3 linked regions of the Oryzias latipes genome follow. The protein of the gene in region 1 purifies or fractionates together with the protein of each later gene. This does not show direct contact. Links are inferred from orthologs where the notes say so. Each region holds a gene or a part of one and is shown on either strand. Other genes may lie near its edges.

Region 1 (4,277 bases):
TTAATGCCCTTTGAGGTGTCCATTATCAAAAATGAACGGACTTTGTAGAAGCAACAGTCCAATGTGATCAGGCTTCCAGTCTTCCGGACACATCGTTGGGAATTATCTTTTATGTAATAGATAATACTTATAGATTAAAATTAAGATTACGCCATTAAAAAAAACAACAAAAACATGCCAGTTTGTCTGTGATTAAGAATAGTGCGTTAATTTGACATCTCCTAAATGCAGAATTAAGGATTTTAGTAAATTTGATCTACTACTGCCTTTTTTTACCTTAGTTTATAACTATTGTTATTTTTGATTATTATTACATGTGACTATTATTTCTGTTACCAGTATAAACATGACCTTAGTTTAAGGGGGCTGGGAAGATGCTGTATGAAAGAAACAAAATGCGTAAAAAATGTTTACCAAAAAAGAAAAGTGAAAACGAAAGGTTCCCAAACATCATACCTTTCATTTTATACTTTTTTATATAGTCGAAAAATCACACATACATGATGCATTTCAAAGCCTTTTTTCATTCACTGTTAATTTTCTTTGATCATTTTATTTATGTCTTTACTAATTGATTTGATGGAAAAGTGGATTTTTGCCATCTTTAGTAAAGTTACAAGTACTTTTCTCTACAATTTAGTTCAATGATTCATAAATATATCATCAGTTATTTTATTTTTTTCAGCTTGTTCTGTCCAAGAACTGAGCAAACGGATGAGAGCTGAAGGCCTTTTGTGTTGGACAGGTTTAGTATTACAAAAAGAGCTTATGTATCTTTGGATGATAGTATATTTACATATTCTTTTTATTAAATGGGAGGGAAAGGGGGAAAGTGTGTGTGTATGGGGGGGATTTAGAAGAAAGATAAAAGGAGAGAGAGGGGAGAGAGTGAGGGGATACAAGTGCCGAGTTGCTAATTTGAATAGGTTATTATTTTAAGCTGTGAAACATTCATGTTAGATCTGCTGGAGAGACAAATATTACATCCAAAAGTGAAATTCTGACACTAAGACAAGGAGAAGATATCTATCCATCAATACACTGTGTTAGGAGGAAGCAGACAGGGAGCAGTGTGCCAGTGTGCACGTTCATGTGGGGGTGGAGATACATGCACGCTGCCAAAGTGAACCATGTGATCATTAGGGGAACCAGATCCTCCCCACCAGTTAATTTTTTTAGTTAAAAAGTAATTAACTGTGAGGCTGCTTGCAAGTTCTTGAACGTTTTATACATTGATATTCTGTTTTATTTTCTCTTTCATCTTTCCTGAATTAAATGTGCTGCATTATGTCAGATCTAAGTACTAATAACATTTTGTTTGTTTTGGTTTTTTCTCATTTAAATCATATACATATAATAAAGTATATGGTTTAAATACAGTGGATCTTTTGTTTGGTTGTATCTCTTAAATCAACCAGTAGAGAGCGTACCAAGCAACACCAGGCATAACGTTTAGGGTAGGAACCTTTCTTTCGGCTACAGAGAAACGGGGAATGTGTTACTGACGGACTGTTGTGAAAGAGAAACGGGGAATGTGTTACTGACGGACTGTTGTGAAGGGAAATTGCAAAGGAAATATTTCCATGCTGGAATTTAAGTATGAAAATGTACACAATTAATTGAATATGGGTTTACAGGTTTTTTAATTTCTAGGGATATAATTTTTCTAAAACGCTTAACGCTGGAATTTAACACCCAAAGTCACAGCTCGCTCGGGTTTGTTTACATCGGTTTTAAGCTGTTTTGACTGACTGTGAATAATCATGTGGGGTGAAATCATCGAGCCTCCGGTAAAAACCCATCCAAGTTCACATGAGAGCGAACCGGAGAGTAAAGAACCGGCGAAACCTGTGGACTTTCCACGGAGATGCGACCAGAACAGACAGACGGAAACCCGGCAGCTCCCACGAGACTTTCAGGTAAGACGTTCTGCATTCATGTACAACATCTTCAGACATTTCCTGGTTTGAAGCTGCGCTAACGCTGCTGTTGCTCACAGAGCGAGTCCAGCTGCGTGAACGCCATGCTGACAGACGTGGCCATGAGCGGCAGCCAGGTGAGGAGCCAGCAGATCGGGGAGGCTGAGCTGAGCCTCGGGGAGCGCAGACAGGAGCTGCTGCAGCAGTTCCGCAGCAGGCCGCTGGTGTTCCTGGAGAGGTACCACGTGAGTTTCTGGCGGAGCCTCGGTCGGTCCGGCACACAGCGGCGGACCTGGCAGTTTGGGGGCTCCAAGGGGCAAGCAAGGAAACACTGATGTCTGCAGGAGTAGATGGATCATTATTTTTAATCCTTACCTAGGGTAAAACATCAAATAAATGTAGGAAATGTCATAAAAAATGAATTCTAGAAGTGTAAAAAACACACACAATTTCAGAATTAGACTGTTTCCATTAAATGATAATTATGCGAATAAACATTAACCATCTCCCGCGATAAGTCATTCAAAAATATGGCAACAGATGTAAACAATACTCTGATTTACAAGCTCCTTACATGTGGGAGGGGCTACGGATAAAGCGATTTTGGGATTTTACTGAGGAGCTGTGGATCCAACAATTCCGCATGACACGCTAAACTTTTGGTGAGCTTCGTGATGCTGTGGGGCCTCCTGTGGCGCCTGCTGTGCAGCCTGTTCCTACCAAGGAGCGCATCGCCATCACCATCTATCTGAATCATTTGATTTAAAAAAAAAAAGTGGTTCCATTGCAGTTTTGCGAAACATGTCAATTTTGCTAAGCCTCAAAAACCACCTCCTCCAATCGAAAAATGTTTTATGGATAAATGTGTGTTTTTTCTAAATTGACATGTTTACATTAGGCGTATTTACGATCACAAATCGAATTTACACAATTTCATAGTAAGTGAAAAGGCACCCGGAGAGAGCAATCTGACGAGAAGCAGAGCCCACAGTGTGGCAGGGCTCACTGCATCAACACAGTGTCATTGAACAGAAAGTGTGCAAAATACAGAGATTTTAAGGATAAAATGCATTATTAGAACAGATTAGATGACATATTTATTTTGTTATTAGCATACATTTCATGATGACAGTTGAGGATGATGACAGGTGAGGTACTGCAGTAAGGAACTAAAAACCTCTGAACTGACCACAAACTTGCCCAAATTGTAAATTCTAACCAAAGGAATTTTTGCCAGAATGTAAACCGCCAAACTTGGTGGGAAATCACCCAATCTGGCAACACTGCTTTCACCGCTGCTCAGATAACAGGGCTTCCTCTTAGGGTCTCTCTTTACATAAGCAGCAAACTTGCTCATCAGTCACCAAATTGCTGTTGATGGAATAGTCCATTGCTTCACAGTTACAGGGGTGGTCGAAACACATTGACATGAGCAGTCTTAGGCCATTTCAGTCATTTGGGTTTTTATGATAGAAATAAAGAATAATGGGCGATACGTTTTTTTTAAATATTTTCAATAATTGTTCAATCAGTTGCCTACTTTTGGCTAACAGTAAGTCAAAAGCCCCTGCCTGTGTGTGCAGCGGGAAAAGCATGAATAAGCCCATGTTTGCATTAATCCTCCACAAGCACGAACCATGGTTGTATTTATGTTTAGGAGTTTGCAGTTAAATCATTAAAGGTTTAGAGTTTACAGGATCCTTTAGATCAATTCTTTTTTTTTTTTTTTTATGTTTTATTTCCCCCAAATTTTAATTTTACTCATTTAACCTTTAAATACAGCAGGGGATGTTTCCCAAAGGACTGGCCCCTTCAGTTACAAAAAGCAGAATCAAAGTGACCATAAACAAATGGATCAGAAAACAATAAATTGCCAATTTCAACAAAACCAAGATTAAATAAAAGTCATAGGAATGAAAAAAACTGAACTTAAGAATTTTAAAATAGATAAAGTAGGTCTGATCTGAAGATGGGGTTCATTCCAAGGTGTGGGTACACTTAGTTTTTTCTAAAAATACAGATCTGACTTGGTGTAACATTTTTACACAAGGAAACTTTTGAGTGTTATAGTTCTAAAGGCAGTTTTATACAGTCTTTAAAACTGTGTTCCCCCGTTTCCAGGCCTATCTGAAGCCCGAACACCTCCCTGTGTTTTCCCACGTCAGCTCCGACCCCAGAGCCCAGCACTACAGCAATGTGGTGCGGACGCGAGCGGCCTGCTGCACCAGCAGAACCAGAGTCAGAAACCACCGCTACGCCGCTCTCCGAGCTCTGCAGAAAGGTACGACACGGGCTTTCCTCTCCATGATGGACGTCTGTTTGTTTGTGCTGATGATATCACGGCCCGTCTTCTCGCAG
Region 2 (3,784 bases), on another chromosome or scaffold:
TTTGGACTTTATTTGTTCAGGCTTGCCTTGAAATTTTTCATTTCTAATATCATGTTAACTCAAACTACTTAGCTAAATACGTTTTTTTCTATTGTCAGTCCTACAATGAGTTTATTATTATTATTACTTTCTTATATATTTTTATGACTTCACAATTTTTGTCGTAACTATGGTCAAAACTTAAACAATTTATCCAATCGGACCGTCAGCAGCTAGCACAGTCCGCTGGCTAAGCTAGGTTAGCCATTGAGGACGGGTTTCTGTAAACGGGCGTTTTGCGAATAAAAAAAAACAACTAAAGTCAATACGAGGAGTTCGGCTATCGTTTTGGTTTACAAAAAATGTTAAACTAAAACTCACCCGTTTATTCATCTCAGACTAAGAAAGCTCTCCTCGCCGAGTTGGTCTTCAACCGTCGATCTTTTTCCACGTCGCGAGACTTCAATAAAACGTCCCTTCTAGATTTTCCTCGAGAGACGCCAGTTTGCCGTTGGAAAAACTCCCGCCGTAATCTGCAACCGTTACCGGACCGAATCATCAAATCCCACATGGCGCCTGCGCACTAATACTTTTTCTTTTCTTTTCGTTTCTTTAACCCATAACCTGTTAATTGCAGAAAATAAAAGCACAACAGTTCAACAAATCATTACCCCATGTTGATTTGTTTTCTCATAATTTTATGACTTTATTCTCATGTCGTCGTTTATTTTTCCTCTTTTATATTGTAATACTTTATCACAATTCTATTTAATATTCTATATATAGTTTTTTTTCTCCGAACATTTTAGAGAAAAAATATTTTTTATTTGTGGTTAGATTTATAAAGGTGATTGTCATCTCGCTTTTTTTTTAAATGTCACAAAAGAAGAGGAATCGAGTACTTTGAATTAAGATCTTTTTTAGACTGTATTTTTTTAAAGAAATTAAAAGCACAGCTTTGTTTTCTGTTTGTTTTTTTATGAGAGATGGTTATTTTTACTAACTTCCCCCTCATAAATATGTATAGAATTTGGATTTTATCTTTAAAGAAAAAAAAGACACAAAAGGGGAGTAGATTCATTTTAACGCCAAAACCCCAATTGTGGGTAAACAGGTCAAACTGCAATTCTAACTAGTGCTCAAATCTCCAATATTTTTCTCCAAAAAAGTTAAATACATAGATTTTGTCAGTGTAGGGAATTTCCTAACACAAAAATGACAAAAAAAACTGTTTTGCATTTTATTGATGTTTATAAGTAATTTTACTTTTCCCTACACATATATCTCATTGCACAACACTTTGATGAGAGAGGTACACATAAGTCTTTTTATTTCTTGTGTCTTGTGAAACCACAAAACCACTTTCATGGCCATGTTGATTTTTTCTAGGTCAAAGAACAGAATTACAAAGAAATTTAAAAAAAGTTGTGTTAATAGTATCTCAAAATGTGTGTGATTCCTCTTTTAACCACACGAGGGAAGCACATGCCTATTGCTGTACCTATTGGTATTATCCGTTAACCGGATGTTCGTCTTCGTTTTGTCCCTCCATTTCCTGGTGAAGGCTAAAGGCATTGCGTGTTTGTTGTTTAGCTATTGTTCAGACGAAATAAACTGTCATCATGGCTATGCAAGCTGCGAAACGCGCTAATGTAAGGTCAATTTTTGTGTTTAACTTTACTATATAACAACGAGTATATGTTAATATGGTTTTTGGTGCTCACGAAAGGGACAATTAGCCCTCCGTTAGCCTTTAGCAGCTATTGGTTACTAAAAGATAGCGTCGCTACGTAAAAAAATTAATAAATACGGCATTTTGAAAATGAGATGGTAAAATTGATTGTTTTGTCATCTTAAAATTTTAAAGAATTATTATTGTTTTAGCACGTTAGAGGGTACACTTTAGTGAAGAATTCTTATACCGTTTGTTTACATGCTAGTCTTTCTGTTACACATTTCTTTTTTGTGTGCTGCAGATTCGGTTACCTCCAGAGGTGAACAGAATCCTATACATAAGAAATCTGCCTTACAAGATCACGGCTGAGGAAATGTACGACATTTTTGGCAAATATGGACCCATACGTCAAATACGAACGTAAGTGTTTTGTCTTCATACCTTCAGTTTTATTTGTTTATTTTTAATTTAAAAAAATGTCTGTCCTAAACACACAACCACGTCTACTAACAATGAATATATATAAATGTAATTTTTTTACATGGTAGTATTAATGAGAAGCAAAATTTATTTAAAAAATCGTTTCATTCCAAACTGTGGTGTAGCATTTGCTTAAATTTGACATTTAAATCATTATTAATCATATTAAAAATGCTTGTTTTGTTTGTTCCCCTCACATGTTATCATCATTTAAGAGTCCCTCTTAGATCACTTTTTCATATGTTTTCAGACAATAAAATAAATATGTAAATAAGCTCAATATTCTTTCATATATGTTGTCCTTCATCAGAAAAATGCCATGAGAAAATGTTTTAAAACAGTTTTCATCAGAGTGGGTCTTTAAGGACAATATTATTATGGAACAGGTTAAGATGTGTGACCATTTCATGCTTTTGCTGTATTTTAGGGGTAACACACCTGAAAGCAGAGGAACGGCGTATGTTGTTTATGAAGACATATTTGATGCCAAGAACGCTTGCGATCACCTGTCAGGCTTCAACGTCTGCAATCGTTACCTGGTTGTTCTTTACTACAACGCCAACAGAGTACGTATGCTTTTTATTTCATCCATTTACAACCTTTTTGGTTCCTTGTTTGTTTGTTTTTTTCTGTTTACCATCAACCCGCTCATATTTTTGCAGGCTTTCCAGAAAATGGACACAAAGAAGAAGGAAGAGCAGTTGAAGCTCCTAAAAGAGAAATACGGCATCAACACAGACCCTCCCAAATGATCTCCACGACTATCAAAACCTTCTCACACACCTTAGATTTCTCTGTACCTGTACAAATGTTCCCTTTTTTGAAAATTTTTGCTTGGTCAGGTTTTTGTTTTGGTGCTTTTGTCAACCTTTTATGCATGACCTGCCGTCTGCTTTTTTTAAAAATGACTTCTCTGATGTTAATTGAGCTTTTAATTTGAAGTGAAACCAGGCATGTTTTCAGTTCAGTTCTTTCCCCCCCCCCCACATAATTTTATTTGAAAGTTAACAGGTCTCTGCCTTGTGCTCCAAGAACATCAATGGATGTAATGTTTGTTTAAACCCATTTATTGTAAAATAAATGTCTCTTTTTCTTTAAACCCATTGTCTTTTGTTTTATAAACACCACATATGAACTCACTTTACTCTTGTTTTGTAAACCTGTCACATCAGCTAATTTTTCTTTTTTCCCCCACATTTACACACAAACAGAAAAGTATCTTTTGAGAAGCTGACCGTCATTCAGTCTTTTCCGTCCATCCATCTTAACCTGCTATATTTGTTGCTGGAGCCTATCCTAGCTGTTGTAGGGCAAAGGTGGGGTACACCCTTGTTTACGGAACAGTCAGCCAGAGGACCTGAGAGCTGCAGAGAGCATAGCTGCTTTTAAGAAAAGCTTCAAGACCCATCTTTTTCAACTGCCTTTTAGCAAATGTTTTAATAGTTTTTATTTATTTTGAATTCTTTAATTTATCCACTTTATCATATTTTATATTTTTACATGGGACTATCCATTTGTTTTAAAATTCCTCATTTCACATTTTATTGTTAAGTATTATTTCTTTTTACCAACTATGGTTACTTTTTTTTTTTATTTCTGGTGCTTCCTCAAAAAAAGAAGCTGGGATTTTACTAAAGAGATTGATATCAA
Region 3 (4,174 bases), on another chromosome or scaffold:
CCAATTTTTAGTGCTGCCCAGTAAAGCAGCAGAACATGCATTATTTATAAACTTTAGTGATGTTCTTCCTTTAAAATGGAGCTTCTTTTAAAAAAAAAAAAGGAACGAGGTTGTTCTGTTTCTTATTCTGTGTCATAAATAGCATGAAAGAAATTATAAAATATTGGAATCACTGAAAAATATTGTAACTTTACTTGATTTATGTAGCACATTTAGTAATACTGACGAAGCAGGGTTTTTTGCACACGTGAATACATGGCCACTGGTCACATACTGACATCTGAAAACCATCAGACCATTCCTGTCTAATGTAAAACTTTAATGTAAAAATTTAAAAAAACATTCAACCTCCTGAGAACCGAGGAAAAAAAGTGTCTTACAATTCCTGTTTTTATGTGATTTCCTATCTATTTAGGCCTAGAACACCTAACAATTTTAATTTTTTTAAAAATATTTTTTATTGTAGATAGAAGACAACAGGATGATATTTCTGTGAAAATAGAGATCAATTTGGAAAATCAGAAAAAAGGAGCAGATTAAATCTTTAGAGTGATATTCACCCAAAAAACATTAGATGATCCTCGAAAATATTGTTATCGATGTACTGTGAAAAGTACGAGATTGGACTCCAGTATTCACAAACTTTGGGGTCATCTTGAGCGGGGCGCCCTGCTAGCACAGGTGTAAACCTGTGATGATGTACGTTTAAAAAACACAAAAAAAATCAAGTTAATAAAAAAAGCAGTTTTTTTTTTTTCCATTTAAACATAGTACAAACACTACAATGTTCTAACATGGTCATAAAATGTAAGACATTAGCCTGAAACTAAATAAAACATGCAAGTTAGTCCTGGTCCACAGAGCACGAAGACTTTGCTGCACCTTCTCTGACTCATCAGATTCTCCTGAATTATCATCTTCTTCATCTTCATCATCACCTATCACAGACTGAATCTCACCCTCCTCATCCTTTTCATCATCCGAAAGCTCCAAATATGAATCAACCTTCGACTATCTGGTACAGAATCCTCTCAGCTTCACTTCTTTCACCTAAAAATAATGTGTAGCCATTAAATAGATTAAAATGGTCCTGGTGTCCACTACAGTTGACATTCATTAAATGCCTGCTGTTTTAAAACCGAAAACCTGAAACTGTTTTCAGATCTAAAAATATTGTTCCTAACCTGTTTATGACCAAGAATATATATAATTATCATTGTAAAAAAAAAAAAAAAAAGGAATAGATACAGAATATTTGACTTGCCTTTCACCTTTCCATAAAATGAGGTTTTATATGTCGTTCACTTTGGTGTCCACCTTTACCATCGCGTTAGGAATAAAAAGTCGGAACAAAAAAAACACCGTCTCGGTTTCTCACCGGTTTGTTAAGTCGAAGGCAAACCGGAAGCCAGCTTCTGCTCGTCGCGGTGTGTTCGGACGGACGCAGTTTTTATCATCTTTTTCAAGCTTCACCTGTTTTTCAAACCCGCGCTTTTCAAGTAAGTTGACCTTTTATATGTATATCATCGATGGCCACATGGAAGTTGCACCGCTGGCTACGAGAGAAACTAAAGTTCAGGAGTTTAAATAGGTTATTAGCCGAGACCCAGGCTAATGATATAGGATCAAGCTAACAAAGTAAAATGTAACTTTGTTTTAAAGGGATAGTCGTGCTTTCAAAAACGGTCATATACCATAAATGGTAAATATCTGCAATAAAGTATGACACGATTTTATTTAATTTCTGGTAGTTGTGCATTATATTGATTTTCCTCATGGGAAAATTATCCATTGACTCTCCGAGGAGTCCTTTCCTTAAGACCAGAATTTCTAGCAGTTTAGCTAGGCTAAAAGGTTCAAATCTGCATAGCTGTGAGAAATCCGTCGTTTTCCTGTAATTCTAACAAATCAGTCATGCCTTTGTTTTTAATTTGTCACACTAATTCAAAACTTGTTTCATGTTATTGAAAGGGATGATAATCTAAGAAATACAGAATTTGTTGGTGTGCAAACAACAAAACAAAGCTTTTGTATTTCATTATGTCAAAGTAAACTGCATATGATCTGGAGAAAAGGGACGTAAGAAACATAAGGGGAAAAGTCTGTATTAGACATTCAACTCTACGGTTTATTAATATTTTTGTTTTTACTGAATATTTTATTTTGATGTTTATACACACCACTGCAAAGTATAGTAATTTAATAATTATTCTACTTCTACACTAGTTTAATAATAGACTGGTGAATGGGTATGTGTTCAATGTGTCCTATAAGATTTTTGTGGGGATGCTGGGTAAGTAAAGGATAATAGCTGACAAGGTGTCTTGACAGTTTAAGCTTCCTTGTCGTCCGTTAAAAGACGGATAATGACCTTTGAGGTGTCCATTATCAGAAATTATACCATGGTACGGGTGAATACTCAATTCTGATTGGCTGCTGAGTGTGCATTAAAAAAGTGATAACCGCACGTCTAAAAAAAGAAGTTCCAGTTACATTGCTTAGATGTTCTGTGTCACTGCGCCGGCTTTTTTAAAACAGACATTTGTTTCATCATCTGGATAAAAACAAGCGGTGAGCGGTGAACCTTCATTCTGAACTGATGCTTTAATTTAACATACACCATCATGACGATCAGCTTATTTATGGCTTTTACTGCTGCAGTGGAGGTCGGTGCCAGCTCAGCGTGTTGTCATGTTACGGTAACGTGACAACACGCCACACCATGTTGCAAAAAGTCCGCTTTTTTTGAAAAAAGCAACGTAAACCGAAAAAATAACAAGAATAAATGACTAAAAACTGATTGAAAATGTATTTGTTTTGTAAGTGACCATGGTAAAAGCAGGATAATCAACGCACTAATAATCAACGGAAGCATCGGGCAGTTTGGGTTTCCACGGCGTGCGTTAATTTCTGGCAACGTATACTTTGTTGGTGACTATCCCTTACTTAATCCCCACTCAGCAGCCAATCAGAATGGAGCATTCACCTGGACCATGGTATAACTGACATTCATTGATATATTTGAAGTTTAGCAGTTGGATGTGGTAATCTTTACTTTCAGATGCTCCCCACTCATTGGAGAGACACATAATAGAATTTTATAGGCTTGTGAAGTGTATTTACCATTAGCCATGTTTATAACATTTGCTTCTTAAAGGTTTAATTTATTTACATGTACCACCATATAATATAAAAAAGGCATTATTTTGAGTTTTTTTTTCCTTCAAATTATTTTGTTTTTATCTTTGAATTGTAATTTTCCTCACAAATGTCACAAGAATAACTAAAACCTTCTTGTTTATGAGTTTATCTGACTGGATCGTCTGTTTGCTGAAGCACAATTCAAATCTCTGATTTACTTTCTTTCTCCCAGAGCCTGTTGACTGATCTCAGAGAGAATGACTGACCGATACAATATCCACAGTCAGCTGGAGCATCTCCAGTCCAAGTACATCGGAACAGGGCATGCTGACACTACCAAATGGGAATGGCTGGTGAACCAGCACCGTGACTCTTATTGCTCCTACATGGGTCATTTTGACCTGCTCAACTACTTTTCCATCGCTGAAAATGAAAGCAAAGCTCGTGTTCGCTTCAACTTGATGGAGAAGATGCTTCAGCCATGTGGACCACCTGCAGACAAACCCGATGATGCATAAAACACAGCCCAACCAACTGCTGCAGCTTTTTTTCCCTCTTACCTTTTCTTTTTTTCAGTTTTGGACGGTTGTTTGTTTCTAACCTTGAGGTCAGAGCAGCCAGTAAAATCTGGTATTCATGTGTTCACTGAAGCTATTCTCACTTGTTTGATCGGTGAATACATTAACTGTAGTGCTTTCAGGAAACGAATGAGAATGACGACACCTGAACTTATCCATTTCAGAAAATGTTAAAAATGTCCAATATGTGCACAATGTTGAACTGTTGTATTTCTAATGAAAACATTATTTTTCCTTTGGTTAAGCTCTTTCACTGATCATTTTATTCTGGAAATATGTCAGTTTTCTAAAACGCATTTAAAAAAGTGAGAACGTTTAAATGAATAAATCATCCAAACAAGACGTTTTATTGTAAAAAGAAAAAGACCAAAGTCATCCTTAGGACTTTGTTGAAGGAGCAGCAATGGCTATAGCAGTGGTTTTGTTTTTGCTTAAAATATATGATTTTGTTTTTT

The links.
Region 2: the proteins of ccdc97 (region 1) and sf3b6 purify together in Homo sapiens (affinity purification with mass spectrometry; 3 studies listed by BioGRID and IntAct, counting the BioPlex papers as one, with this or other methods). This does not show direct contact. The link is inferred for Oryzias latipes from reciprocal best matches to the Homo sapiens genes CCDC97 and SF3B6.
Region 3: the proteins of ccdc97 (region 1) and sf3b5 purify together in Homo sapiens (affinity purification with mass spectrometry; 3 studies listed by BioGRID and IntAct, counting the BioPlex papers as one, with this or other methods). This does not show direct contact. The link is inferred for Oryzias latipes from reciprocal best matches to the Homo sapiens genes CCDC97 and SF3B5.

The regions. Positions count from the first base shown.
Region 1 is NC_019866.2:18,440,655-18,444,931, forward strand, and holds the start of ccdc97 (coiled-coil domain-containing protein 97), read left to right. Parts: upstream 1-1,440; 5' UTR 1,441-1,763; coding exon 1,764-1,919; intron 1,920-1,999; coding exon 2,000-2,164; intron 2,165-4,040; coding exon 4,041-4,200; intron 4,201-4,277. UniProt on the Homo sapiens protein: May play a role pre-mRNA splicing through the association with the splicing factor SF3B complex which is involved in branch-site recognition.
Region 2 is NC_019882.2:13,000,264-13,004,047, forward strand, and holds sf3b6 (splicing factor 3B subunit 6), read left to right. Parts: upstream 1-1,478; 5' UTR 1,479-1,601; coding exon 1,602-1,631; intron 1,632-1,955; coding exon 1,956-2,074; intron 2,075-2,561; coding exon 2,562-2,700; intron 2,701-2,796; coding exon 2,797-2,886; 3' UTR 2,887-3,165; downstream 3,166-3,784.
Region 3 is NC_019873.2:17,221,611-17,225,784, reverse strand, and holds the start of sf3b5 (splicing factor 3B subunit 5), read left to right. Parts: upstream 1-1,374; 5' UTR 1,375-1,499; intron 1,500-3,373; 5' UTR 3,374-3,398; coding exon 3,399-3,659; 3' UTR 3,660-4,174. UniProt on the Homo sapiens protein: Component of the 17S U2 SnRNP complex of the spliceosome, a large ribonucleoprotein complex that removes introns from transcribed pre-mRNAs.